Medicago truncatula: one gene and its partners. The protein of the gene in region 2 binds, or shares a complex with, the protein of the main gene of each other region. Links are inferred from orthologs where the notes say so. Each region holds a gene or a part of one and is shown on either strand. Other genes may lie near its edges. The genes, in order: 50S ribosomal protein L34, chloroplastic; 50S ribosomal protein L29, chloroplastic; 50S ribosomal protein L31, chloroplastic; 50S ribosomal protein L24, chloroplastic.

Region 1 (6,977 bases), on a different chromosome or scaffold from region 2:
TGATAGCACATCGTGGGATATTTTCTATAAAATAAAAAATCTGAACAAAGTTGAAAGCTTTAGACAAATACCTTGTTCATTTTATCCAACCATTATATACTAGAACTAACTGAGGTTTTAGTACAAAATAGACTTCTTTAGGACATCTTCAAGTTTAGTGGCAACAATTACTACCATGACCTCATCAAATAGCAATCATGATTGCCATTTAAGGCATTCTATAGAAGTTATCATGACTATGGTATTATGAGTAAAGCTGGTATTATTTGTTGAAACTTGAAAGCTAAGACAAAGCTGGTTTTTATATGATATATAATTTAAAACAAGGTGTAACTCTAACAATTTGACAATAAATGAAACATACACGAACTAATAATAATAAATCGAATTACTGGAATAAAATTTGTTGCCTAAAACACACACTAATGTAAAAAAAGTTGAACAAAACTTCTGTTGGTGAAAGATCAATTGCAACAAACAAGTGCATAAATAAATATCTGCACCAAAACATAATCAACTAAATAACGTACGGTCATTTTAATTTAACAAAAATCACATAAGAGATATTGTTATACATGCAAAACTGATTTTGTTGGTCATTCCATCAAGTCTCTTGCATATTTTTTGCAGCATACTGGAACAAAGATTTTGCCTAAAATAATACAAGTTTTAAATATAAAGGAGTACATAAAACCATTGTTATGAAAATAAGAAGAAAGAAAAACCTTGAAATGCGGCCAAGTTTAAGGAGCTAAATACACAAATATAATACTTTTAGGCTCTTGTGTGACTATTTGCCACTATTTGGGTGGCTCTTGGTGCAAAGGACTTTTCGTCCCTTGGCACGTCGTCGCTTTAATACAGCTCTTCCAGTTGTTGTGCTCATTCGTTTGCGGAATCCATGAGTGCGTGCCAATGATTTTCGTGATCTACTTCTCTTGGTTAAACAAAGAGCTTGTCTGCCTGCTGCTACTATAACCAGACGACCATTTTGTCTTCTAGGTCCAACATTAGGTTTCAAATCCAATCCTAGTGACAAACCTGGACATGGAGAAATCAAAACAAGCTAAATCCAAACAAATTTTTTAACTATATACATGCAGATTGAACAAATTCACCAAACAATTGAAAGCAAAGCATCCATTATTGCAAAAGAACTACAACCTCTTTTGTATTCTCTATTTTTCACATACAATTTCCAACAAAGCACTGACACGGACCCGTTGACACCGATCATAATTTGAGAAAATAAAAAATTTGGCTGTAACATGTGTCGCTGTTGTGCCATTCACCAAACACACTTTGATATTTACATGGAACCCTTGACGGTTAAAATTCAATCTAACGAGGTATTTCTATCTTGAGGTATTGCTCAAGTTTCAAATCTTTACAAAGGATGTCTTTGAAGTATTTCCATCTGACACAGGTAAACAGCAGAGTATCTTTTCTCTAATAACGACTTGCCAAATTCCTAACTTTAAGTCATGCTGAGATCAAGATGAGCATGGAATTGCAACAAACATCATTCTAATAAAAACCAGACAACAAAAAAATAAATGTCCTATGATAATGTATCAAACAACTCCTCCAAAGCCAGAGCAATGTTAACATTAGTAATATGAATATCAATAAGTAGTATTAGAAAACCACAATCCTTAGAGAGAGTAGAGCGACAATTTTCATCACCCCAATTAAAATCATTTTTCTACTCATTCAACATCTTAAAAAATGAATTGAGACATACCAGTACTACATTCAAAACTAGTTCTATTCAATTCGGATTCAAAAATTAGTTGCGGTGAAGCACGAAGCAAGGGCATTAAATTACTAGATTACATTTAAAATTCTAGAGGTGTCTTTTATTGCATTTCATCCAAAAAGAATGTAACAATATGGCTAGCATTTACAAGACATCTTATCCACTTACAACACAACCCCATTTTCCATTACAAATGCAGAAGCATAAACTTCAGAGATAAAATTTCATTTCAAACCCAAAAATTAAACTTCCATTCCAAACAGTCACCATAGTCAAGTTCAATCAAACCCAACAATAAAACATTTTTTTTTGGAAGAATTACCAATTGCATACCCAATAACAAAAAAATTGAACAATGTTTGAGGCATGAATTGAAAAATTAACAGTACAGGTATGTTTATTACAAAAGAAATTAAGAAATTAAGTTTGTACCTGAAATGGAAGAAGAGTTGAAAGAGAGAGAAGTAGGAGAAGAAGTGAATGAGCAATGAAGCAATGGAGAACGAAATTTGGAGGAATTGAGAGAGATTGAAGATGGTTTTGAAGAAGCAGTGAAAGTGGGTGCTCTGAATTTCATGGATATCAAAGGAGACACAGAAGATGATAACGAAGCCATTATCCTCTTTTTTTGTGAGTTTTGCTACGTGTTTTCGGCTTTTAAACCAGTGAGTACTGTTGAAAGTGTTTCAAGAATAATTATATTTTAATACGATTATTTTACAGATGGGGATGTAGCTCAAATGGTAGAGCGCTCGCTTTGCATGCGAGAGGTACAGGGTTCGATCCCCTGCATCTCCAGTTTTTTTTTTTTTTTTTTTTCATTCATATTCTTTATGCTATACCCCTTTGCAAGGCTTGCATCTCATCATCTTTTTCGTTTCTTATTATTTATTTTTTTTATTTTGTTTTTTGGAAGAACTTTTCTACCTTTTTCCTTCTTTTTTCATTTTTTTAACTTAATATTAATTACCTTAATTTGTCAAAATGAAAAAATATCGGAGATTTTTGTTGGATAGCAACACCAGATGTAAAATTAACTCAAAAATTAAATTTGCTTCAAACAAACTAAAATTAAATAAAATATGACAATAAATGATTGAATAATATGTACTTACTAAGACAAAATTTGAAGGTATTGGTGTGTTGTTATATCTTTCTGTAGGTTCTCCTTCTCCAATTAGCCCGTAATTTTCTTTGTTTTTCTATGTTTTTCTCTTTCATTTTCTTTATTTGAAAGGTGGTTTGAGTTAATTTTTAATATGAAATCACATCTTTTCATTTTCTTTTCTCTTTATTTTTTAAAATAAGTGATTTTTTAAATTGATCTAATTTTTTCGTAGTCTGAGTGCTACGTTGTGTTGTTCGCCGTCTTGCAATATTATTTAATTTTTTTGTCATGAAACAATATTCATTTGTTTCCTATTGAAATATTAACTTCAATCACAAGTTCAATTAATTATTTAGTCGTCAACTTTCTGATCTATAGTCATGGTATTTTGATCACTGTGATATTTGGTTATATGTCCCCCTATATATAGTCAACAGGAAATTAGAACCCTATCACAAACCAATCCCTTTTGTTTCATGTCTCCTTCGAGTAGTTGAAACCATCAACAAGGATTTATTGTGATTATTTGTATCTCTAAGTTTCCAATCTCAATTGAAAATAGAAACGAAAAAATAAAAAGGAATGACCAATCTATCTAGAATAAACCGACCCCTTTTGTCTCTAATCTAATTAAACTCAGTCCACTTTACACATTTGTGTCTAATAACATGTCACCACTAAATCAAAAGGCAGCTATTAATTGAATAATGTTATTCGTCACAGCTAAATTGTGGACAAAGAAAAAAAAAAAGGGGGATGATAGAAACCAAATATATACTCCCTCCGTCTCTATATATAAGACCCTTTTGCTAAAATCATGGGAATTAAGATACTGGATATTTGTATTAAAGTTGTTTGTAATCACTATTGTTTTTACAATTTTATCTTTAAGAAAGAAGGTTAGTTTATGTTTTCAACATGTTATTTATTGTTGATTGAAGAAAAAAATGTATAATAAATAGAGGCATGTATGTAAAGAAATAATTAATGTAGTTGGAAATAACAAAGGGGCCTTATAAAAAGGGACAAAAAAATTCTCAAAAGGGTCTTTTAATTAGGGACGGAGGGAGTATATATTTTTTTGGAAATTGTGCATTTAATACTTTAAAAGTTTTAAAAGTTATATTTTCAATATTAAGTTTCATTTAATTGAAGCTCTATCCCTTAATTATAATTAAGAAGTTTTATAGAAAAAAAAAGTTGCAAAAACATTTGATATGTTTGAGTGGTGAATTCAAATTTACAATAAAGCCACACCTAGAGTACGAGTTTGAGTTTTTTTTTTTTTTTTTTTTTTTTTTTTGCGGTGTCCAGGGTTCGAACCTTGCATATATTATAAATTGTTTTTACGACTGAGTTAAGCTCACGAGGACTGTGTAAGTTTTTTTTTTTTTATCAACTAGTGTAGTGACCCTTACATATTTTAAATGCGGAGAAGTGGGGGTATGCGGGATTTGAACGCTGACCCTTACATATTTATGCAATGTGCTTATTAACTAAGTTAAACTCACAGAACAGTGTCGGTGAGTTTTACCGCTACATTATATAAAACACAAAAATATTAAAATACTAATTTTTAATCATATTTGATAGAAAGAAGAAAAAAAAACACACATATATACAACACCGAAATGTTGATGATTGATTAGGTTTTTTGGTTAATGAAGTGTTGAGATTCATTTGCAATGTTGACAATTGTTTCGTGTTGCAATGTTGCTTGTTCTTTGAACTTGGGATGAGTCTGATTTGTTTGTGTGTGTAAGATTATTTTTTTAGATGTGATTTTGAGATTGAGGATTAAGAATTGAAATTTTGGGATGAAGATTGGGTTATGATATTTATGTGCAGAAAAAATTATCTTTCTTTTTCTAATTTAGAAAATCAATTTATTTTTATTAAAAGGATTTTTAAATGTTTTTTAATTTCTAAATCAATTTTATGATTTATTAAAATGATAATTACCACCTGGATGACACGTGGTCAACTTTACATAGTCAGCATCTGCCAAATAAGTAGCAATGGGCAAAATCGGCAAGAAAATGGGCCTAGATACTATTTTAAAAAACAAAAAAATTTGCTGGAACGTTTTTTATTTTTTTGTAGATACCAAAACTCAAACAAGTCATATTTAAAGAGACGAATAACACACTTTAGCCTTAAATAATTTATAGCCAAGATGTTGAGCATCTGTTAAAAATAGTGATAAGTAAAAGAATGAAATTATGTTGAGGTTGTGTTATGAATAGTGATAGTTAAAGAGAATAAAATTATGTTAGTACTTTAGGATACTAGTTACTTTGATAGTTGGTTAAGTTCCAAATATGCACCAAATATCATTTTCCTAAATAAAATCATTGTTTTTCTTTTGAGCATCTTTTCAACATAATTTCTTTTGAGAATTCTCATTTTCAAGCTCTCAAGCTTTGAAAGTCAATTTCCTTCATAGTTCTGAGGATTTAACATGATGGTTCCATTGACAGTGGGAGAAATTATAGTTGAGAAGAAAAGCCTAAGTGAGATTTTTGTGTGTTCAAAACATCAAATGAATCACATGAACAACAACAATACAAGCCAACAAAAAAAAAACAAGTCAGAAAGGTAACAACAAAATTTTATTTCAATACAAACTTATTAAAAAAAACAAAAGGTTAATATCATGAAATATACTTCCTTTGTCTCTTTATTTTACAAAATGTAGAAACGACACTTCCTGTTGAAGATGATGTTCCCAGTGCCTAACATTAGTGTCTCGCCATAGAGTTAGCCCTAAGAAGCCTTGGAGAACTGTTGGGTCTTGCACCGATGCCAAAGAAGGATTCAAGATTATTTTCATTCTTCTATTGGTCCAAACTTACAGTAGCTGCAGCCTGCAACCCTCTTTGGCCTCGTCAACATCTCTTTTTGCAACACGCTCGACCTTGATTCGTACTTCAGATTCAGCCCTTATGGTTTTAGCTCTTTCACGTGCTTCCCTCTCCTTTGGTGGGTGCTATTTTACCTTTATCTATTATGAAAATATTATCTTACTAGACGAAATCTAACTTTGAATTTGGTATTGTGTTCCTAATCATGCTCAATTTATAACGGAAACTTCTTTTTCTCTTCTTTGAATAGATTGCATTGTGTATGGCATGGGCTCCCTTTTTACTTCAATCTGACCCTCATTGCTAAGACTCTCACATTCATTCGTTGGGCTTTAATTACCTGACAGCATTATTTGCCTTGAATATTGTGAATGTATCGAGATCTTGTGTCTGAATATGAAATACTTGATACTTGAACTTTCCCAGTATTCTTAGGCAACTTTTACTAGATTAATATGTAACTTTGCTGGATTAGGACGTCTAGCTTTCACTCTTTATGACACTTTTGATCTCCCATTAGATGCTTACTGACTTGCAAACTTTTCTACGTATGGTTGGGGATTGGGGTGATTATTCCTTCACGGTCCTGCCTTAGGGTATTTCTCGTCATCTTAATTGTTAAACTTGAACCTCAAATTCAATCCATTTAATGGCTGGGAGTGGTTCCATAACTAAGCCTCGTGCATTTATTTTCCAACATGTTAAACCCATGTTTCATGATATGCCAGGCATGTTGTTATTAACTAGAGAGTGATTAATGCTTTCTTGCATAAATGTAAAATACTTGATGAGCGCTACTATGCATGAGCTTCACACTGGATTATATGTTATATTGGTTGAGTAATGGTGGGTTATATTTAGAAATCTCAAACATTTGAAGTTATCTAGTTTTTCGCTCAATTTTCTGTTTTTCACTAATTTGATTGAAAAAATGAAGGTTCTTATGTTAAATGGCACACATGACCGGAAGACTAACGGATTTTCAGCTTCTTGTTTTGTTACTGCTATTACGGATGCTCTAAATCGAACATATGGAGAACCTTGTAACCGTTTACAGAATCTTGAGAGAATTCCTTCCTATTGAAACTACTTGGTGTCACTATTATTATTAATGGGTTACCTTAGAAACTTCACATAAAATTGAAAGGTTTGGGATGCCAATTATCGTTGTTTCTATTACTCTTCCGTTGTCCCCTTCAATTGAAACTGTTATGTCTCCCAAATCTGCAAATTATGCAAAATAGAG
Region 2 (7,846 bases):
CCTCCTCAATCTCTCTTTCCCGCTTTACAGTAAGCAAGCGAGCAATCTACATCAATAATAACAGTAATTATTCATCCAAAAGAAGGATACCGCTTGTTGGCAAAGCTTTTATAGGATCATCTGAAGTTATTATTATTAGGGTAATATTAAAAGGCTTAATAGCAGTTTTCGCCCCCTAACTTTCACAAATTTACGATTTTGGCCCCCTAAGAAAAAAAACTACAAAACCGCCCCCTAACTTAGGGTGCCACGTCAGCGTAGACCGAGTCAAAATTGGCCTTGGGGGCCAAAACTGCCACAGATGCAAAACTTAGGGGGCGGTTTTGTAGTTTTTTTTCTTAGGGGGCTGAAACTGCTATTAAGCCAATATTAAAACCAAAAAATAAAGGAAAATGTTAAGTTTAAATAGTAAGTTTATGAAAAGTTGTGTATTCAATGCATTGGAAATTGTAATGGTTGACTTTTTTAAAAGAATAATTACTAAATTTGGGATCCTTAAAGAGTGCCCCGGGGAATATTGTTCTCTCCCCTTTTTCTATGGTGTGCATATCTTGCCTTTACCATGGAATCTAAACATTCTAAATCCTAGCTAATGCACTGCTTCTTTGCCTACTGAATCCTTAGTGCCCATTCTCCTCGATTCAATTTTTCTTGGTGGGACATGAACTCTGATAAAATGATGATGGGCCCGTCATGAGCCTCCCACGTTGCCGAAAGTGGAAAAGGAGCGCGGATAGTAAAGCAAACTGAAATAGGACTGTGAACTTCGTCTGTCACTACTGAAGGAGATTAATCTATTATGCTGGATCCTAACAAACAGAGCATGTGGCAATAGGAGAGGGCAATGGGAGATGCAGGAACCAATGGAGACGAACATTAATGTGGGAAGGATAGATGTGTGGAGGAATAGCAAATAACTTGAGCATTTGAGGGGTGATTAATAACAAAGGGCAGAGATGCTTTTCTAAGATATTTTTTTCAGTTTCGGTATATCCTTACACTTGTCTCCTGATATCTGGGTTAGAGTTTTCTTTTGGATTTTTCGATGATCTCGAAAGTCAAATCTACTTCTACCAATTTAAATTTCAGTTCTGATACAGAATATAAGTTGCATGAGTGGAAAAGGTTAATAACGTATATGAAAATAAAAAGGGCCACAGCAATTGAATTTTATTGTGGAGTGAAAATAGACATGATAAAATAAGGTTTTTTTGAGTAAATCGTGATTTTGATTGTTAAAAAAGCAATGTAATGAAGAGGACTGAAACAAAGAATAAAGGCAGAGATATTAATCTGCTGCAGCTTAATTGAATCAAAATTATAATACAACTGAGTGTAAGAATAGGCTGCAACTTGCAAAGACATTCGTTATGTGAGCATAGTCACGTTACATCATGTCCAAACAACTAAAGTAAAAGATATTGTAGGCTAGTTTATGAAGAAAGGTTAAGTATGCTAGACTGCAGTGCATCATGTCCAAAACTTGACCTTTACACTTTTCTTTCTTCTTTGGCAGTTTTATTGTCCTCTGTTTAGGGGTTCTTTGGTTTCCGGTTTTCAGTTCAGTTATTTCCGTTTACATCGGATTAGATTATACTAGATATGAATACCCCAAGCTATGTTAGCTATTAGCACTTGTTAACAAATGGTACTAAGTGGGCTCTCTCTCCTCAAAGATCTAAACTCTATCCGGCGATGGATTTAATCTGTGTGAATCTAAGAAACAAGAGTCCACAAGCCATCATATTGGTTGATTGAAATTGAACAGAAACAAGGAGAATGACTTCTCCTCCAAGCCATCTTACAACGGCCACCACACCACTCCACTTTTTCAGGTATGGTATTTTCGGGACTCTCCATATTTCAGGTACGGTGTTTTCGGGACCAATTGCTCTGTGCCGCAATACATGAGTGACAACTATGATAATTACACGAGCTACGTTGCTCGAACTACAACGAAGTTAACGAAGTTGAAGCCCTTGGCCTTTCCTTTCAATGTTTGTTTCATTGTTGCACGAGATAAAAATCCTGATGCCTTCAAATTTTACCCTAAGTTTGGTATAATGGGCACCAAAAATAATGCAAATGGGATGTAGACATAGGCTTCTTTCCTTTCCTTTCACTCCATTTCCATTCTAACGGAGCAATATTTCATTGTCCCCTTAACAATTTTGATTATTGTGTGTAATATGTAAGTCATAGGCTTGATAATTTCACTATTCCCCACCTTAGTGACTAGTGAGTCTTTGGCTTTGTGTATTTGGTTATTGACGCCCTAAACATAAATCTCTTGCACTGATCCAGGCAATAAGAAGCTAGTTGTTTCTCTAACATAACCATAAAACAATGACAATTCCAACACATTGATAATATTCAATTGAAGTTAAAATGACAAATTTCAATAGATTTTTCCTACTGGCACCCCGTTTATTCCTAATTTCAAAAACTCCCATTTACCTAACACTATTAATGTATTTAGATTGGCTTATAATCAAAAGCAACTCTATCCTAAAAATTTAATTAAGCAAATGTGAACAAAGTATATTAAAATTTCTATAAAATTGAATAAATAATCTAAAGAGTAAGAAAATATACCGTCTTACGCATGCTACGAAAATCACTGGACTTAAACTCATTACGAGCAGATTTCTGAAGACGAAGCATGAACAACTCTCCCTTAAGTTCAACAACCTCTTCATTGATTTGTTCGGTGGTTTTAGTTCTAATTTGCTTCAATTCTTCTTCTCTCTTTGCCATCATCACAACTGAGACCGAAGCGGTGCGTTTCGTCGCTGGGATTGTGCACGTGTTTGGTTGACGTAGACGAATGCCATTGAAGGAGGATTTGAAATGTAATGGTTTTGGAAGAAAAGAAAGTGTTGAAGAAGAAGATGGTGAAGCAACGGAGAGGTTCAACATTGTGTTTCCGCGCTCGTATGTTTTATCTGATGAACAGCAACTGTGTGCAGTATGTGTTGTAGTTGCAGATAAGATCCACACCCTATCTTACTTCATCCTTTATGAGCACAACTCCTCTTTTATTTTATTTTATTTTTTATTCATTTTTTCTTTCTTTATAAATTAGATTCAGAGAATTGGTTTGTATAAAAAAAAAGTTTTTTTAGATACTGGATTGAAAACATTTTTTTTTTTTAATGTTTGGTTAACAGAAATATTGGATTGAAAACATTTACGAATTCAAAGTATTTATGTATAACCAAAGTTACTTAAATAATAATATGTTATAGACGTTTTTTTAGATATAACAACGCTTTTTATAGATATCCAACATTCACTTTCTTTTTTAGAGGAATATACGTAGATTTAATCTTATGGAATGAGTTATATGAATTGTTGGAATCCACATGTATTTCACTAAAAAAAATATAGCGAGTATTAGAAATTTAAGTCAGGTTGATGGTGTTTAATGACCTTTGAGTATGGTACTTCCTCAATTGTTGGTTTCTTCTCCGTCACTCTCGGCCTTCTTTTTCGGGGAACGAAAGCAGTGTATATTTTTTTTTAAAGAAGTTAAACTAGCCCACTCAAATTGACAATGAAGAGAATCAAACATGAGACATTGCGGAGAAACACACTCCAAGAACCCAAACCAACACCACCAGAGCAACTTAAGTGGACTTCGTTGATGTTTCACATACCTGCACTTCATTGATGTTTCACTATTAGAATTTGATTACATCAAATGAGAGTCTTACAAATCATCCTAAGTGAAACAAATGAACATCAGAAAGTTCATTTCCAGCACATACTTTCAATCTGACGGACAAGTACAATTGGTAAAAAGTAAAAGCAAAAACAAAAAGCAAACTCAAGTGCGACTCAATGAGAATTAGACATGCATGGGGTTTGGTACTGCACAAGGATCAGAAAATCCCCTAAAGCATGGGCATGAAGTGACAATTCCACTTTCCTCTCTCCTGCACAAGTTCTAAGGCAGATTTGCAAAGGCTTTTGTTCAACATTATTTTGAATTATGTATGAAGAACGATACTCATGGAAAATCCCTTAAATTCATCTGACATTCATAGGATGAACCCAAAAACACATATGACATTCATCCTTATGAACTTAGGAACAATATCCTGATGAACACAACAATATTCCGAAGAACACAACAACGTTTTTAAGTATTATGATGAACCCAAAAATATTTTGAAGTTCATAATGTTGATCAAGACTTCAAGCAATAGTTGCTAAGTCCGAGGATATGTGGCACAAGACCATTGCACACGCCCTAACAACTACAAGAGGTCAAGAAACTCTGTAAAAAGATAAGAAGACTCTGCATTGAAGCACACAACTTTCAAACATACTTAAACAACTTAATCAAAGTGTTTAAAGTTATCCATAAGTCCTAGCTCAACTGGCAAAATGACGAAATTGTTAGGTCGGATGCCATGACCGGGGTTCGAACCCCGATACCTCCACTTGTGTGTGTGAGTTTATAATGGCTTTGTCATTTCGTCTATCTACAAAAAAAAAAAGTGTTTAAAGCTTCATAGCAAAATTGATTTCACAAATCAACTATAAAGATTCCTAAAATCTCAGAGAGTATGAATCAATCTTATCTTATCTTCTTAAAGATGATATTATTCCTCTCTTCTTCTTCCTATTGTTCAACTCCATTCAAACTTCCAAATCATTTGTAAGAGAAAAATCTCATCTAGCTCTAAGAGTATTAAAGTGTAGGCTGAGTATAAAGTTGTAAAGTCTTGCATGACTTAGCAAAGAAAGTCGTAAGCATGATGAGGCTTAGAGAATACATGTTGTAATTGTTCCAAGGGAACAAGGTTGTACGATGCAGGAGTTAAAAAGTTATCTCAAGCATCATAGTGAAAATCTCAGAAGATTGTGAGGAGTGAATTAGCCCCCATTAGATGAACCAATGTAAATTATGCGTGTCTTTCTTCTCTTTCCTATACCATTTACTTACGGTAAACACAACACACACACACACACAATCATTTACATTTAATATATTGTTTTTACAGTAACACTTTAGAACTTTCTGAAGTCTCTTTTTAACTTAACATTTTCAAGTTTCAACTTAAGAATTACTTTTTAAGTACATGATTTAATTTAAAAAAAAAAGGTCTTACTTCAAGGTGTATTTTGTGAATAGCGAACATACGATCACAAGTTTAAAATCCAATATTTATAATAGAAGATTAATGTTTAAGCCTTTGTACCTCTGCCTGGTCAGCTGTTTTGGAAGGACGACCATGATCCTTTTAGGGACAATTGTTGTCATTTGAGGGCACTCTTTAGAAGTTAGGTCTAACATAAAGTTCTAGGTTTAAGGTTTTGGTTTGTGAAGGATTCGTTATTATGATGAACCAATAATCCCAAGACTTTTTTTTATTTTTATTCTTTCCTTTTAATTAAAAATTCAAACTTTAATCTCAAACTCTCATCTAATCATTATTTAAAGTTAATTGAATTCATAACTCTATGTCGGAACGATACTTTATTTTTACTACTTCGATAGAACTGTGCACTTGCGGTTTTATCCCATTAGTTGTTTGCCTCGGTACCCGTTCTTATGTGCCACTGACCCATCTGGTTGTTTTCCTGCTTCTCATTCTTCCTTGTTATGGGCTGCTTTGGCTATCATTCTCGTGGGTCATTTGCTCTCATGCCACGACCATGCGGTCTCGTTTTGGGAGGATCACTTTGGGACTTAACAATGAATGAGTTTCAATCAATGCTGAAACAGCTCCCCAAACTATTATGTGAGGAACTCAAGTTATGGCTTGTACATGAAGCTGAATGGAAAATCCCTTTGTAGTTGGAATTCGTTCGCGTGTTTTTTTTTTGTTTCTCCGGACATCTGGTTCGTTAAATGTTTTTAAAACAATATCCATTTTAAGTTATTTCTAAGACAATGTTTTTTTTTGTTTCATTTAATTTTATTTTCAAGGTCTTCCTAACCACTGTCTCATGAATATTTATAAAGAAATTCATTAATAGAATTTTTTTTTCAAATATAAGTTGTCCTATTTGTTCAAGTAATAGTTATGTCATTTTTTTTAATAAAAATTTATCTTTATTTAAATTGCTTAACTAATATCCTTGAGAAACACTCTCGACATCCTCTTTATTTTTGAGCTATGTTATTTGTACATTTAAAATTGGACAACCATTAACTTTGCAAGGAGTAGAGCTGTCAAAACGGGCGAGCCCGTTTAGCCCGAATAAATATAGGGCTTCGGCCTAAAATATTGAGCCCGAATTTTAATAGGGCTTTTTAGCCCGGCCCTTAAAAGCCCGGTACCCGTTAGGGCTAGCCCGAATGGGCCGGGGGTAGCCCGTTAGCCCGCATAACAAAAAAAAATTCTATAAATTATATATATATTTCAAATAATTATTTACTTAGTTGATTATCAAAGTATAAAACAAAAGTGAAAATTCAATGAATTAACACAAATATAAATGTAATATAAAATTATATTTATTCATTTCGTTATTTATAGTTTTAAAGATCGAATATATAAATATCTATAACCATAACATATCTAATTTATTTAAAATCATTTTTCTCGTCGTTTTAGTTTACGATGTTTGTACGAAAATGTTTACAATTTACTTTTGTGCTAGACATTATTTAAACATATTAAAAATATTATTTATAAAAAAATTATAGTAGTGTTTTATAATATTTTTTAAAATAAAAAAAATATAATTTTTAATACGGGCCGGCCCGTGTAGGGCCGGGCTCGGGTAGTATATTTCAAGCCCGTTTTATCAATCGGGCTTTTTGGCCCGGTCCGCTAAAGCCCGAAGCCCGCTAGGGTTGGCCCGTTTAGGGCCGGGCCGCCCGTTTTGACAGCTCTAGCAAGGAGTATAGAAATCGAAATCAGATAAAATATTATTAAACATAGCAAATAAATTGTTGGTTGTACAATTTAGTTGTTCAAATATCATTTCTATTTATTTTTAAATCTCTTTTAATTTAATTTTAAAGTATCTTCGTTAGTTTGTGACCCAACATATGTTGAATCATACACAGAGACATCATAGAGGTGTTTAAGTGCTGTAATAAATTATGTTAATGAAAGTTGGTAGTTAGTTGAATTTTTTTTTTAAGGAATTAGTTAGTTGAAATTTTGACGTTAATGTATTAGTCTAGCGTTGGTCTATGTGGACTTTTGTGCTAGTCGAGGTTAGGCATGTTAGGAATTAACAAGAATTTTAATGGAAAATTGAAGATGTGAGTTATTTTTAAACAATTTTTATTTGAAAAAAAATCAATTATTTTGAGACAGTGTGTGAGTGTCAATTTTACAATTTAAGTGCATGTTTCCAACTGTTTTGAATGAAAATATCCATTAATTATGATGGCAAAGCCACAGCCCACAAGGGAGTAACAAATGTCATTTTTTCACAATCTTCTTTGATTTAGACCGATTGCTACGAACCTCTCTCGTTTTCTATCTAAAGCTTCCATTAATTTTTTGGCCTCATCAATTGTTTGGTTTAATCGGAGAACTCAACTTGAGCCACTCCTTTTCACATCCACTCAAAATACGTTTCAAAAGTCTCATGTCGCACTTGCTACCACTAAATAAATGGGGCAGAATATCGAACTATAATTTTGTCCCATTAATTTTGTTTTTGACAAATTGTCCCTTTTAAAATTTAAAAACGTACATCAAAATTATTTTCAAACCACTCTTATCTTTTACAAGGTGTAATTAAGACCATAACATGAATAGTGAAATTACTAAAGTGGAGAGTGTCAGAGGTCCGGAGGAAGAGATTCGTCATCACTCGAGGCTTTGTGGATGCATGATACGATGTTTTCACTGCAATAAGTTAGCGTTAG
Region 3 (6,489 bases), on a different chromosome or scaffold from region 2:
CTTTTTCCTTAAAAAAAAATGATTTTTTCCCTTAAAAAAATCATGATATATGATTTTTTGATTAATGAAATTGATTCTTTCCTAATTTTTTTTTCTTTCTTTCGAATCCTCAATTATGATAGCTTAGAGCACAAATATCAGCAGTGGTATTGCCAACGTGTGCCTGTGTGTGTCAGTTTGGATACTGCTTGGACACTACGGTGCCAAGAATGGCAATGGTGCCATTCTTTTCCTTTTTCACCTTTTATCAATAGTTTAAAATATAAAATTGAATATATTGTAAGATTAGTGAGACCTATTTTAGAGTTTTGGAGAGTCGTGTGGATATTTAGAAAAATGTAGTTGGGTGGTTTAAATAATTGGAAAATGTAAAGTAATATAAAATATTATGTGAGACCCATTTATACTACTCATATGGGTGACATGGATGTGAGTGCTCTTAGTTACGTTATTTTGTGAATCATGATTCAAAAATATATATTGTGAATCATAAATTAAATGAAATAAAAAATAAACTTTCAATTAAAAGCTTTTTTTTATTTTATTTTTGATAAATTTAGTAAGCTTTGATGCATTTTTGTTAATACATTTTTTGGTTCGAAACATGGTTAAAAGTTAAAACATTAGGTTGAATTATTTTTTTTTAGGGACATTAGGTTGAATATTTTATTTACATTTAATTTGACTGACTTAAAATTTATTTTGGTCCCTTATTTTTTTTTATTCACTATTTGGTTGTTTCTAAGTTTGAAAATATAATCTCAATTTTCAAAATTTTGAAAATGTAAATACAATCCACCATTGAACTGGAGGTATTTTTAGGTGACTTGTCAAGTTGAATAAAAGAATGAGCTGCCATGTTACATTAGTGGGTGACAATGCACATGCAAGTTGTTTTATGATAATAAAATTTAAAATAGAAAAACGAAAACCCCTAAAAAAAACCAAATTCACCAACAAAAAATGCATTTGTCACCTCTCAAGTTAAAGATATTAAACATCCCTAAAAAAAGTTTAAGATATTAAACATAAGATCTAAGAAAGAATCTGAGGATTTGATAATAGGTCAATTGATTTAATAAAAGATAAAGAGTTAAAAGTCCATTATTCAAAAAAAAAAAATATATAAAAAGAATGTGAGGTTTTGATAGGTCCATTGATTTAATCTAAATGATAAAGAGTTAAAAGTCTTACATTTAAACTGGAACGAAAAAGAGTAAATATTAATCTAAACAAGTAGTATAATACGTATAAGTTTGTAATTTCTTTCAGTCAGTTTGAATAGATTTTCCATTTTCGGGAGAATAAACCTTCCTAACCTTCTACTAACGACCTTTACGTTGAGCACGTTACCCACCAAATGGTTTTGTTTCTTTATTGTTTTATTTTATTTTATTACAAACTGGTTTTTTGTTGTTGTTGAGCACGTAACCTACCAAATGGTTTTATTGTTTGGTGGTTAATGAAGAAGACTAATAACCGCCGGTAATAGCTGATTTTTGTTGTTGTTGAGAAATCCAGCAACAGCTGATTTGTCACTAATTCATTCGATAGATGTAGATAGAATATAATCCAGTAGATAATCTCGCACACGTTTGACGACTTGCATATGATATTGTCGCTCGAGCTAGTAAATGAGTTACATTGTTGATTTTCCTTCTAATAAAACTTATCATAACGTTTGGAAAAGATTGCATAATAGTTTTACGAGCATGCTAAATTTTGACATGCTTTATCGTTTATGCCGTCTATAACTAGCTTGCAACCTAATTTTATACACTCGAGTATAACCCAAATTCATAAGCCAAAACAACGCTTGTGTTCAACCCACATGCTTGCGCCTCTTGAGAATTTGGTTGGCTAAAATTCTAAATAGTTTGTGCTCGTACACAATTTCTCTTGTTGTCCGAAAACAAAGATGTCGACACCGAATGTGTTCTTGTCTCTAAAATTAGTCGCATCAACATATACTTCCTCTAGTCACACAATACATTTAGTATTCACCAAACTTAAAAATAATTTTTGCTTATAAATGTGTCCGGAATGAATAATTAGTTGTTTTTTGTGTCGATATAAATACTTGATTTATTATTATTAGGAAGCCTTAATCCTTAAAATTTAACTAGTTGAAACTTGAGAAGTTTGAATGGTGGGCTATGTGCTGCATTTGAAGTTGGTGGTTACAACTTACAATGTTGGAATTTTAGTTAGAGAAAGGAATGCACAGTAGTAAGGAAGATTTAAATATAACGACAGTGACACTTACAATGTGGCGACGATGACAGCTGATAGGTTTACAAACAAACAAACAAGGATTTCTAAAGTTAGCACATATTTTTGTGATGTTCGTGTTTTTCTTCAAAATCACAATGGTTGTTGTCACGTGGTATCATCACATACACCTCACAATGTTTTGAGTAACAAACGACCATAAAAGACTAAAAAAGGAGTACTGTTCCCACACTAATTTTAGATGGATTTGCTTCGTATAAATTTAAGTCACTACCTATCACGTTGGTCTTTTTTTCTTGGCATTGCCTATCAAATCAAATTGGATTAAAATGCAATGTCATGGGGATTTAGATTTCCCATATTAAATTTAAGACACGTCAGTTAATGTCGACCGTCCTATCTCAAAGTAAATGGGATAGGTTACTTAAAAATTACTATTCAGCTAGAGAAATATAGTTAAAATGACGGTTTAAGATTTCATATTTAAAAATAATTTTTAAAAAATTAAATAGTACATTTTTTAATGTGTTGAATATACAATTTTTTATTAGAAAAAGTATATTATTTAAGGTTTTTGAAGAGTGAGTACTCGGATAATACCATTTTACATCTTCCTTAAAAAATAATTATTGTACTATCTATATATTGGGGGAAAGAAACAATATGTGGATTGGACAAGAGGACATACCACTACATAAATTTCGAAAATAAAAATTACATCAATGTAAACGTTAATTTTCATTTATATTATCCTTTCCAATTTTTTTATCTTTGCTGGAGGAGGAATTAGAAGAAAAAAAGTGCAGGGGTGTTCTAGGTCATTTGTGGGTCCCTTCAATCCGATGATCCATACAAGTTTATCAGGTAATTTATTTGAATTCATTTGAGTTTGGATTCAACTCAATTCAACCCACTCAAATTTAAAGTGATTTGGATTGGATTGTTGTTTATGTTTTCAAATACATGAATTCACAAATTTGACTCATTCAAATAAACTTTGATTTTTTTTTTTAGGAGAGTAAACCTTGAGTTTATTATATATAGATTAAGGCTTTTATGTGTTAGTAAATCATAATGGATAACCAACAATATCAAAACAATAGAAAGAAAAAGTAAAAATATAATATAAATATTTGAAAGAAAATTATCACAAAAATGATCAAAAAATAGTTTATATAAATATCATTCATCTATCCATATTGACATGTTTGATTGTACATTCATTACCTTTTTCAAGGGTACGATGTAAAATGGTTTTCCAATCCAAAATTCAGGAGGATAAAGTAAAAATAGTGAGAAAACAATAGAGAGATAAAGTAAAAATAATGTGAGTATGAGAGATAAAGTTGTCACAAAAGTTGTCATTAAATAGATGTTCAAATATCATTTCTCTATTGCAGAAATGATATTCTAACAACCTAGGTTGTTGTTACGACAACATATTATTATACGGCCTAGGTTGTTGTCCACTTATTTTTGGATGTTCATATATCACTCTTCTTTTTAATACTACATATTTTTCTCGACAAATGTATTTTGTGGTTGAACTTTGATGGCGAAATATGGGATGCTTATATGATATCTAACTTGATTTTATGGAAATGAACTATTAAGTGAGAACTCACCTAGACATTGTTTTACATCAAAACTGTTTCTTTTGTGATATGGATTAATGACGGGGTGTATACGAACCGGTTTTTAAGGATGAGTTAGGCCTCCAATTTCATTATGGTATCAGAGCCTGTCGAATTCAAGGGCCACCTACCGATTCACGCACCAAACCCAAAGAGTGTTGGGCGTGACAGGGGTGTATTGGGAAAAAAAATCCATGTCCCACATAAGATATATAAGACTCTTGGTAAAAGTTTATATAGAGGAGACAATTCTCACCTTAAGAATCAATTTTTAAGGATGAGTTAGACCTCCAATTTTATTAGATCGTGTCATCAACTGAGTTGTCAGATAAGCATCTCATTTATCACATCATCAAAGAGAAAATTGGCGATATAAAAATAGGAGTACCAAAATCGCAAAGAAGGCAAAATGGAGAAACCAAAATGAGATTTAATAAAAAAAAAATAAAAAACTTTGTTGTGCATGCGTGGTACCACATTGGATTTGTCATGGTCATGATTAACTACTGTAATTTTTTTTACTATGACTACGGTAATTTTTAAAATATACACTTTGTGTCTATCTATTTAGAAAAAATAAATGAAAATCACATTAACAAAACACATCTATCAAACTCTTTACTTTCTATCTTATTAAATGTAAGTCAAATTCACACATGTACTCAAACATGCTATATTTAACTTGCAAAATGACGATAACTCATCGTGATTCTGAAAAAGCCACGGTGTCCCATGATATGAAACATGCATGTAATCATAATTTATAATTATGCAATAAATGTATATATACATATATGTGGTCTCACACATACCATACATTATGATTAAAGTTGCAGTTCTCACATCCATTGTTTTTTAGAAACACATAGAAATGACAAAAAAAAAAAAAAAACAGTGGTAGTTAACTAGCGCTGACTTCAAAATAGAAAATCGGTAGTAGTTAACTACCGCTGAGTTTTTTGGTCATTTACTAATGTCTCTAAGAAACAATGGATGTAAGAACAACAACACTCCATCATGATTTCCTAATGGGCTTATTGGGCCTCATGAAATGAAAGAAAAAGCCCATTTTGAACTACAAACAAGAACAAGAACATATGTCCACACCACACAATCTCAAATTCTCATATCTAATCTCATCTGCAAAAAAATGGCGCAGTGCATTACCAATACCTTTGTTCAAGGAAAACCATTCCTTCCACTTCCCACAAAAAACGTAGTAACCAACCACTTCCTTAAAATTTCCAATTATTGTTTCTGTATTAAACTAACCAACATGTTTTTTTTTGTAGTTGCAGAATCAAAAAGGAAAAAAAGTGGGCAATTTCGGAGTGTATTGTAAGAAGAAAGACATACACCCAAAATTCCATGAAGATGCTAAGGTTTACTGTAATAACGAGCTTGTGATGACAACTGGTGGAACCCAGAAAGAGTATGTGGTTGATGTTTGGTCTGGGAACCATCCATTTTACCTAGGTAACAGGTCTGCTCTTATGGTGAGTGATGATCAGGTGGAGAAGTTTCGTAAGAAGTTCGGTGAATTGTCACAGATTATGGAGATTCCTGTGCTTAAAGGTGAGATTGTTATTCCTTCTAGACGTAAAGGGATTAAAAGTGGTGGAGGGAAGAAGAAGTGAGTTATTTGTGTTGGAATTGTAATTTGATTGTATGGTGTTTGTTAAAATGTTTCTATGAGTTTTTGTTTTGTATTTTGAATGATTATTTATTTGATGTTGTTTTTGTTAGTAATTCATGTTTGGATTGTTGCGAGATTGGTATAATCACTGTGAGCCAATGTGATTTTGGATAACCAAAACTACATTTTGGAGCTTCGGAACTCGTTGTGAATCCAAACATACACTTATATGAGAAACAAATATGGTTTTGGATTCCCTATTGTCTGCATTTACGCAATCATGAATCTCGACTATTGAATTGGATGAAGTTATATTTTAAAGAAGATTTCTTAATGCTGTGTCTGTTTTTCATCCAATGGTTGAGATTTGTTGGCTGTTGTTGTAATGTGTGATTCTTTCAATTGTAAAGAAACATGGTTTTTGATATATTTCGAAAGGAACTTGCATGTTGTGTATGCTTTTTTAACAGGCAAATGTTATTAAGCTAGTTGCCAAGTTAATTTCTAAGGATCAAACTCTGAACTTTGTGCTTAAAACTAATGAAGCGTCCATTAGTTTACTAATCGGGCTATTTAGTTGAGATGTGTGGTGTACGATTCTAAAATATTAGAAACTTTGTTGAACTTGGGTACCATTTGCTACTGCAAAGAAAGTACGGCCACAAAGCTTACCTTTGTTTTAATTTTATCAATTAAGAATTGAGGAGGGCAATGAGCACTATCTTTCTAATAATGACATCTCTAACACTCATTCTTTTCATTTATTGGATGAAACCAATCTCGGTATCATATTTTGAAAATGAATTCCACATAAAGTGATGAACCCATATGAGTTATACTTATACTCGAGTGTTAAAAAAAGAGTGTTTCTAACTTTTATCTTAAGAATTAGACGATGCCTTAATTCTTGGAGCTAAACTAGTTAAGGGCGTGCAAAAGGAGTTATAGCTATTATGCTTGAACCCTTAACTATGGTTGTGATCATCT
Region 4 (6,984 bases), on a different chromosome or scaffold from region 2:
ATAATAACACAACATAATATACACTTAACAATAAAATGGGAAAAAAAATAATACAACTACATTGAGTTACATAACTGCTGAATGCATGAATTAATATAGTAAAACTAGGCAGCAACAAGTTCTTCAGTTTTTTTAGTAGCTTCCTTCAGTTTCTTCCAATTCTCTACACTATCAATTACCTCTCCAGTTTTTATTAGATAACGAACTTTTTTGCCATTGTCAATAACTTTATGACCAACACGGCTTACGACATTCTTTTCTTTAGAGTAGAGCATCACATTTGAACTGTGGATAGGACCTTCAATCTGAAATTCAAGGCAATGGTTTCTAAAAGTATTAGAGTCCATGACAAGAAATGCACCAAAAAAAAACAAAAATCATAAACATCAACGCATGTTTCTAAACTTCTTTTTTTTGTCTTAACCCTCAAGTTTCTAGAGAAAAGAGGCATGGTAATCCAAACTTCGGTCGGGAGGTAAATAAAATTGACCAAAATTTGTTCCAGCCAGGATTTGAACTCGAGTTCCCTCAAACAAAGGAGAATGTTATATAATAGGAGATTCTCTAACTCTTAAGAGTGAAGAATTCATAATAATGTTTTCTCTGGTAAAGGGAAATGATAATAACCTTATTTATTTGCCCTGGTTCTCCCTCTTGTCTACTCTTCACATGCTTTGTCTTCAAGTTTATGTCTTTGACAATGATAGTGCTGTTGTGCTTGAAGATCTTAGTAACCTCCCCAATTTGACCCTTTTCATGTCCTGATATGACTTTCACAGTATCTCCAACTTTAACATGCAATTTGTGTAACACTGGAAGGCTGTTTGGTTTACATTCCTTTCGCTCCCATCGTTTAAGCTGCCAGAAAAGAAAAGAAACAAAACAAATATTACACAAGACATTTTATAAGGTTAGTTGTTAGACAATATATTTAGACTCATGACCTATAAACCAATGTCTTTTTATGTTTTTTTACAATATAAAATTAAAGAAATCATAAGGTTTGTATCGTTTTCATTTTTGCAAGAGTATGAAAATGCCATTGACGGAAAAAAAAACATTTCTTTGCTCTCGGATCACTATAGTTAACATTTGCTTGATTTTGATTTTAGTTTAACAAAAACTAAAGAGAATAATCATATTAGGCATGGATGTGGGAAGTATTTGATACTTACCTTCATTACAATACGACATTGCTTATCTGTCGGCTTACCCTGCATATCACCAATAAGAACAATATAGATTTAGCATACTAAACTATTGAGAAATGCATCTGTAAGAAGAAGAACAATATAGATTCATTTTATCCTTATAAACAGTCAAATTTCAGCCTGGCAAAATGTAGTAGTTACATTACATTGAATGAAACATTAAGCATTATTGCATTTTCGTAGTGTTGTCAATCGCAGATTACAGAAAATAGTGGAATGCCAAAAATCTGTTATGCGAAATAGCAGACTCTATATTGGTTGAATTAAGTAAATTATATATAACGAAAGGCTTGAATTAAGTCAATTATATATAACGAAAGACATGTTCCGTACAAATAAAAAAGGGTATGGAGGCAAAGCATAGCTTACAAACATAAAGGCTTACGTATTACAGTGAATATGAGAGTATTACTCTCTGGCGATTCGACTCTTCTATTTTGAAAATAGTTCTTGTTTGCTACACGTGCAGACTCTTCAATTTTGTAATTTAAAAAAAAAAAAAAAAAAACAAATATTCTACTTTTCTTCTATTGCACAGTTGCACTACATCTGCTAGCAGAAACTAGAATAGTGGCCGCTATTTCTCTAATAGCGAAACTAGGATAGCTTTGTGTTTTTTTTTAATAGAGGATTCATCAAAATCTTCTATTTCCTCTCCATCCAATCACTCTCCATCTCCTTCCTCCCAAAATATGTGTCTCTCTCTCTCTCTCTCTCTCTCTCTCTCGATCTTCTTACCTTTTCTCTCTCTCTCTTGATCTTCTCTCTAAAATTTGGATCCAGATCCTCCACTTCCACTCACTCTCTCCTTCTCCTTCCATAATTGGTGTCTATCTCTAAATTTTAGAGAAGATCATGAGAGAGAAAAGATAAGTTAGAACACATATATTCTTACAAGGGCTTAGTTAGAAATGAACAAATAACATTTAAATTTATTCTTACAAGGGCTTAGTTAGAAATGATAATTTTAGGCAAGCACTAAGCAAATGAACACACATCAAAGAACACATATATTCTTACAAGGGATTAGTTAGAAATGGATCCTTTAATCAATATTTTCACATTGATATGAAAATTGTGTTATATCTCCTTCTTCATATGCACTATATTTGTCAAATTCAATCCTATCTTAATTTGTGATTGTCTAAAGAACACATTCAGACACACAATTGTCATGTGAAAAATCTAAATCTCTTATGAGCTTATTCACATTCAATTCCAATAGCACTGGTCATGCTACAAAATGGCAGATTCAATTTATTCTAATAAGAAAATGAATAAGACACCGAGACACACCTTCAATCAGAAGCATTGACGTTGAATAGGACATGCCATATAAACATGAACAGAATTATGAATTATAAACTGATTAGTGCATCCACTAATTCTATGAAGATGATAATTATTAACTATAAATTCAAACAATATCACCACAATTCTAATTAGAAAAATAAACACGAAATGCTATTACCCATGAACTTGGACTCTTAAAACTCACTAAAATCAAAAACCCCATGTGGATAAAATTAGAAAATAAGTACCTAGAATAATAAAAATTGAAACTTTAATTCAAAAAGAAGAAGCAAATTTGCAAAATTAATGGAGAGAGTGTAAGAGAATGAAGTACCGGAAGAAGAGGAGAGAGAGTGATGGGAGAGAGAGGCTGGCCGAAGAAAGAGTTGGAAGAGAGTGAGAGTGAGGTCATGGAACTCTGAAGAGAAGCCATAGCCATAGCTACCATTTTTGTTGCTGTAACTTCTTCTTTTTGCTTCTGCTTCTGATAATGATTTTGGATAATACAAAATTTCAAAATAAAAGAAAAAATTGAAGAATTTGGTGTGAAAATGGATCATGGGCTTTATGTGGGTTAGTTTTGTAAGCCCAAATTGTAACGAAAATTGATCTTCTTCCTTTCAAAATTACTCATTCCCTCAACTCGGCAGGAATTAATTCCCGGCATTTTTCATGGATAACTCACGCCGACATTTTTAAGATCTGTTCAATCATTTTTTAAATCGGTTCAATCGATCTTAAAAGTGCTGGTGTGAGTTAACTCACGCTGAAAAATGTCGAGCGAGAGTTTCCCACTAAATTAAGGGAATAAGTAATTTTGAAATGGAGAAGCAATTTTCAATTGTAACTCTCTTCGGAATGAACCAATTATTATTATTTTTTTCTCTTTAATTTTTTGTTCAATAATAAATACTAGAGTAAATTACACTATTGTGCTATGTTTGGATTGGTGATGTGAGATGAAATAGAGTGGTAAGTAATTGCCTTACACTATTGAGAAGTAAAAACTTAAAGTAAATTATATGTCTCTCCTCTTAATAGATACTTGAATTATACTTCTCTCGTTTAGATGTATTTTCTTATGTGCTTTTGTACAATTCTAAATTAAAAATACACTTTTTCTTATAACAAACTTTAAAAAAAAATTATCGATTTAAGTAAAACATGGATAGTTTAGTTAAGAAACATACGAAAAATACCTAAGAAAATGAATGTACCAAGTTTTATCCTTAAAAATATAGAATGCATCTTATTAAATATTTTGATATATCCTATACTTTATTTTTTATTTTGTATCCAGTAATCTAAAAGGACTTATTAACAACATTTAGCATTATTAATTTTTAAAAAAATATATATGTTATGAGGTTTCTTCTACACTGTTGCATACATATTTGCAATTGATAAATTTATATTTTAAAAAGAAAAAAAATTGAAGCAAGCAAACTTAAGTAATTTCTTTTATCATTATCAAGCAAGATATAGTATGGGATAAAATCAAAGTTTTGAGACTTGACTGTATGTAGCTACTCTAGCTAGCTTATAAGTCACTACATTAGTTTGTCTCCTAACATACTCCACCACCAGAGTTTTGACAAAAAAGGGACTTAAATAAAACATATACAATCATGAATCATCAATAATATAACCTAGTTCGGACATATCCCGATTTGGTTTATTAAAATTGTCAACCGTCAATTTAGAATCCGACTCAAAAAATATATGATCAATCTCCAGCTTATAACCCACTTGATTGCTTCAATCAAACCAAGTGCTCTTCATGAACAAGGAGGCGAGGAGAATAGTGATCTGTTCGATCTTGCAGGAAATTGCCTACTTCATCGCTTAGACACATTCCTACACCAACATAGTTGTCCGTGAACGATGAATCAATGTTACATTTTATCATCCGTACCGGTGGTCTTTGTCATCACCATTCTGGCTGCTTCTCTGCTATATGGTTATTGACTTGCTGCCGGTGTTCTAAAAAGGACGTAGCTCTCTGATGCAATTCCTGCAGACCTTCAACAACTGCTTCCATAAGTGTAAATTCTGCAGCGCCACAAACTTCGCATATCTGTACACCATTTGACTAGCTGGTTTGGATCTATTGTATTTGCAACTTTGAATAATAAATATTTGCAATAATCTTCATATCAATAAATCTGTCAAGGACAGTCCACATACCTGTCTCCTGCCATGGCCAGCTACAACTGGACACGTTACCATGATGTGTCAAGCGGATTCTGTGTTGCTGGTGCAGCGCAAATGGACGCACTACCATGATATGCCAAGCAGATTCTGTGTCAGCTGCAAATGAACATGCTACCATGATGTGCTAAGCGGATTCTCGTTACTGGTGCAGCGCAGGCAGTAGGGTTGACAGGGAGCTCCTCTTGTACAGAGATTAAAATTTATGAAGTTAGATTAATTTTGCAATTGAAATCCTAGTTAACTCTTCAGAAATTAAAACTATGATCCCTCAAATAATTTGCAAATCCATTTAAGTGAGATTAAAATTATTTTCGACATTAAGATTGTTAGTTGAGTCGGAAAATAGATTGCGTGCATGAAAGTAACCCTTTTTTCACATCAATTTCATTCATGAAAGTAATAATATACAAATTTAGGAGTTTCTGTTCTGCGAGACAACAGAACTAAGGCAAGAGAATGAAACAATAAAGTAAAAAATAATGTAAAAAAAAAAAAGAATGTTACACAAAACTACAGAAGATGATGCCAAACATCATTAACTCACTCAAAGCCTAATGTCTAATAAAGATCATTATCCAAAGCCAAAAAATAAATAAAAATAAAACAATAGAAAATAAAAGAACTAAATATAAAGCTATTTTTGTTACAAATCATACATGTCAGTTGCACTATCTATAGATTCATCTCTTCTGTGGCGACTATCTATAGATTCATCTCTTCTGTGGTCAGTAACATGACCCTTATTTTCTGGCTCATCAACATCAATTGCAACTTCATCTGTTGTGGCCGAAAGAGACTTCTTGTGATGATTCCTCTGATGCCTTGCTTTAAGGATCCGAGTCAATACTTGAACTATGTCCCTCATCGAAGGACGCTTCCTTGGGGAACGGTTGATGCATCTGTATGCAAGTGCTGCCACTTCATTCACCTCTTGGAAATCACATTTTCCTTCGAGCTTTGAATCAACAATCTCCTCCCAACCAACTTTTCCCTCGGAGTTCATTGCTGCCTAATCATCCATCAATAGCATTCATAAGAACAGAAAAAATTAATTAGATATCATGGTGTGCTGCATCAAAAAAAATTCAATTTGGTTCGATTTTTTTAATTTTTTTTCCAACTAATATAAATTCAGTTCAAGAAAGAACAATTAGATTTTTTGTAAAGGTAGTTTTATTTCGGTTCAGAATCATCGAACTGGTGCACCTCTTGGGACGGACCCCATTAACAGTTCGCTTCAGTTTTTATGAACTGTGGTAACGCCGTAACGGTTTAGTTTGGTACGGTTTTCTTTCTGAATTGAACCACAATAAGCCCTATTATTTACAAGGATTTGTGAGTATTGTCTCCGCAACTTAAATTTCTAGATCTGTCACCACTTGTTTCGATATGTACTATGTATCAAGCAAAGAAGAAAGAACAACAAGATACATTTTATTTTCAACAGGGCTTGAAAGAGGGAGAGAGGTCTTACAAGTTCAACATGTTCCATAAGACCCTGCTGAGGATTTCGGCCAGCTATAAGTTCAAAGAGCAACACTCCAAAACTGTATACATCGCTTTTTTTGGTGAATGTCCCGGATGATATATATTCAGGATCCAGATAGCCAAAGGTGCCACGAATAGCAGCATGTTTATCCACCATCTCTTCTCTTGAAAGTCCAAAATCAGCAACCTATTTGATTCAGAATCAATAAGAGCATAAGAATTCTAACCCACAATAAATTATTAGAGGAAATATATATTTTGTCATTCAGCATTATCTCAGATCATACAGATTGAATAAAAGATCATGGTTATCAAATCAAATTTCAAGTAAAAAATATAACATTTTTAAGTAAAAACATGTGACATACATAACAAACCTCAAAATAATTCAAAATTCTAGTCATAAATCAAATGGCAAAAGAAAAGTGGTAGGCTGTACAAAGTTGACAAAATAGGTTGCAGCGTAAACTAAGTGTAATGATTCAGTAGAATGAAACGAGATTCATTAAAGTGAACCGAGATTCATCATAGTGAATCGAGTTTCTTCATAATAATTTGGGGTTCAAGATGAGATTCAAGTCCAAATAGATACACACTACAGGTTTGTGTCAATTGAGTTTATAATCTTGTGCTGAATCGAGATACGACTAGCATGTATCGTAAAATACTGATAATGATATACAAGGTCATGCTTAGAAAAAGTGATGATTAACAGGACATACCCGGGCTCGCATGGACTGATCCAAGAGAATATTGTTAGATTTGATGTCGCGATGAA

What was found.
Region 1: 50S ribosomal protein L29, chloroplastic (region 2) and 50S ribosomal protein L34, chloroplastic share a complex: the UniProt entries of both Arabidopsis thaliana proteins name them as parts of the 50S ribosomal subunit. The link is inferred for Medicago truncatula from reciprocal best matches to the Arabidopsis thaliana genes AT5G65220 and AT1G29070.
Region 3: 50S ribosomal protein L29, chloroplastic (region 2) and 50S ribosomal protein L31, chloroplastic share a complex: the UniProt entries of both Arabidopsis thaliana proteins name them as parts of the 50S ribosomal subunit. The link is inferred for Medicago truncatula from reciprocal best matches to the Arabidopsis thaliana genes AT5G65220 and emb2184.
Region 4: 50S ribosomal protein L29, chloroplastic (region 2) and 50S ribosomal protein L24, chloroplastic share a complex: the UniProt entries of both Arabidopsis thaliana proteins name them as parts of the 50S ribosomal subunit. The link is inferred for Medicago truncatula from reciprocal best matches to the Arabidopsis thaliana genes AT5G65220 and RPL24.

What each region holds. Positions count from the first base shown.
Region 1 is NC_053043.1:4,727,647-4,734,623, reverse strand, and holds 50S ribosomal protein L34, chloroplastic, read right to left. Parts: upstream 2,414-6,977; 5' UTR 2,376-2,413; coding exon 2,192-2,375; intron 1,042-2,191; coding exon 791-1,041; 3' UTR 511-790; downstream 1-510. UniProt on the Arabidopsis thaliana protein: This protein binds directly to 23S ribosomal RNA.
Region 2 is NC_053049.1:41,914,089-41,921,934, forward strand, and holds the start of 50S ribosomal protein L29, chloroplastic, read right to left. Parts: upstream 3,017-7,846; 5' UTR 2,920-3,016; coding exon 2,596-2,919; intron 47-2,595; coding exon 1-46.
Region 3 is NC_053042.1:7,238,319-7,244,807, forward strand, and holds 50S ribosomal protein L31, chloroplastic, read left to right. Parts: upstream 1-4,929; 5' UTR 4,930-5,016; coding exon 5,017-5,082; intron 5,083-5,158; coding exon 5,159-5,503; 3' UTR 5,504-5,969; downstream 5,970-6,489. UniProt on the Arabidopsis thaliana protein: Binds the 23S rRNA.
Region 4 is NC_053043.1:40,655,485-40,662,468, reverse strand, and holds the start of 50S ribosomal protein L24, chloroplastic, read right to left. Parts: upstream 3,003-6,984; 5' UTR 2,953-3,002; coding exon 2,839-2,952; intron 1,215-2,838; coding exon 1,176-1,214; intron 859-1,175; coding exon 628-858; intron 306-627; coding exon 105-305; 3' UTR 1-104. Other genes in the region: calcium/calmodulin-regulated receptor-like kinase 1, read right to left, coding at 5,362-5,727, 6,193-6,393, 6,929-6,984. UniProt on the Arabidopsis thaliana protein: One of two assembly initiator proteins, it binds directly to the 5'-end of the 23S rRNA, where it nucleates assembly of the 50S subunit. Required for optimal plastid performance in terms of photosynthesis and growth.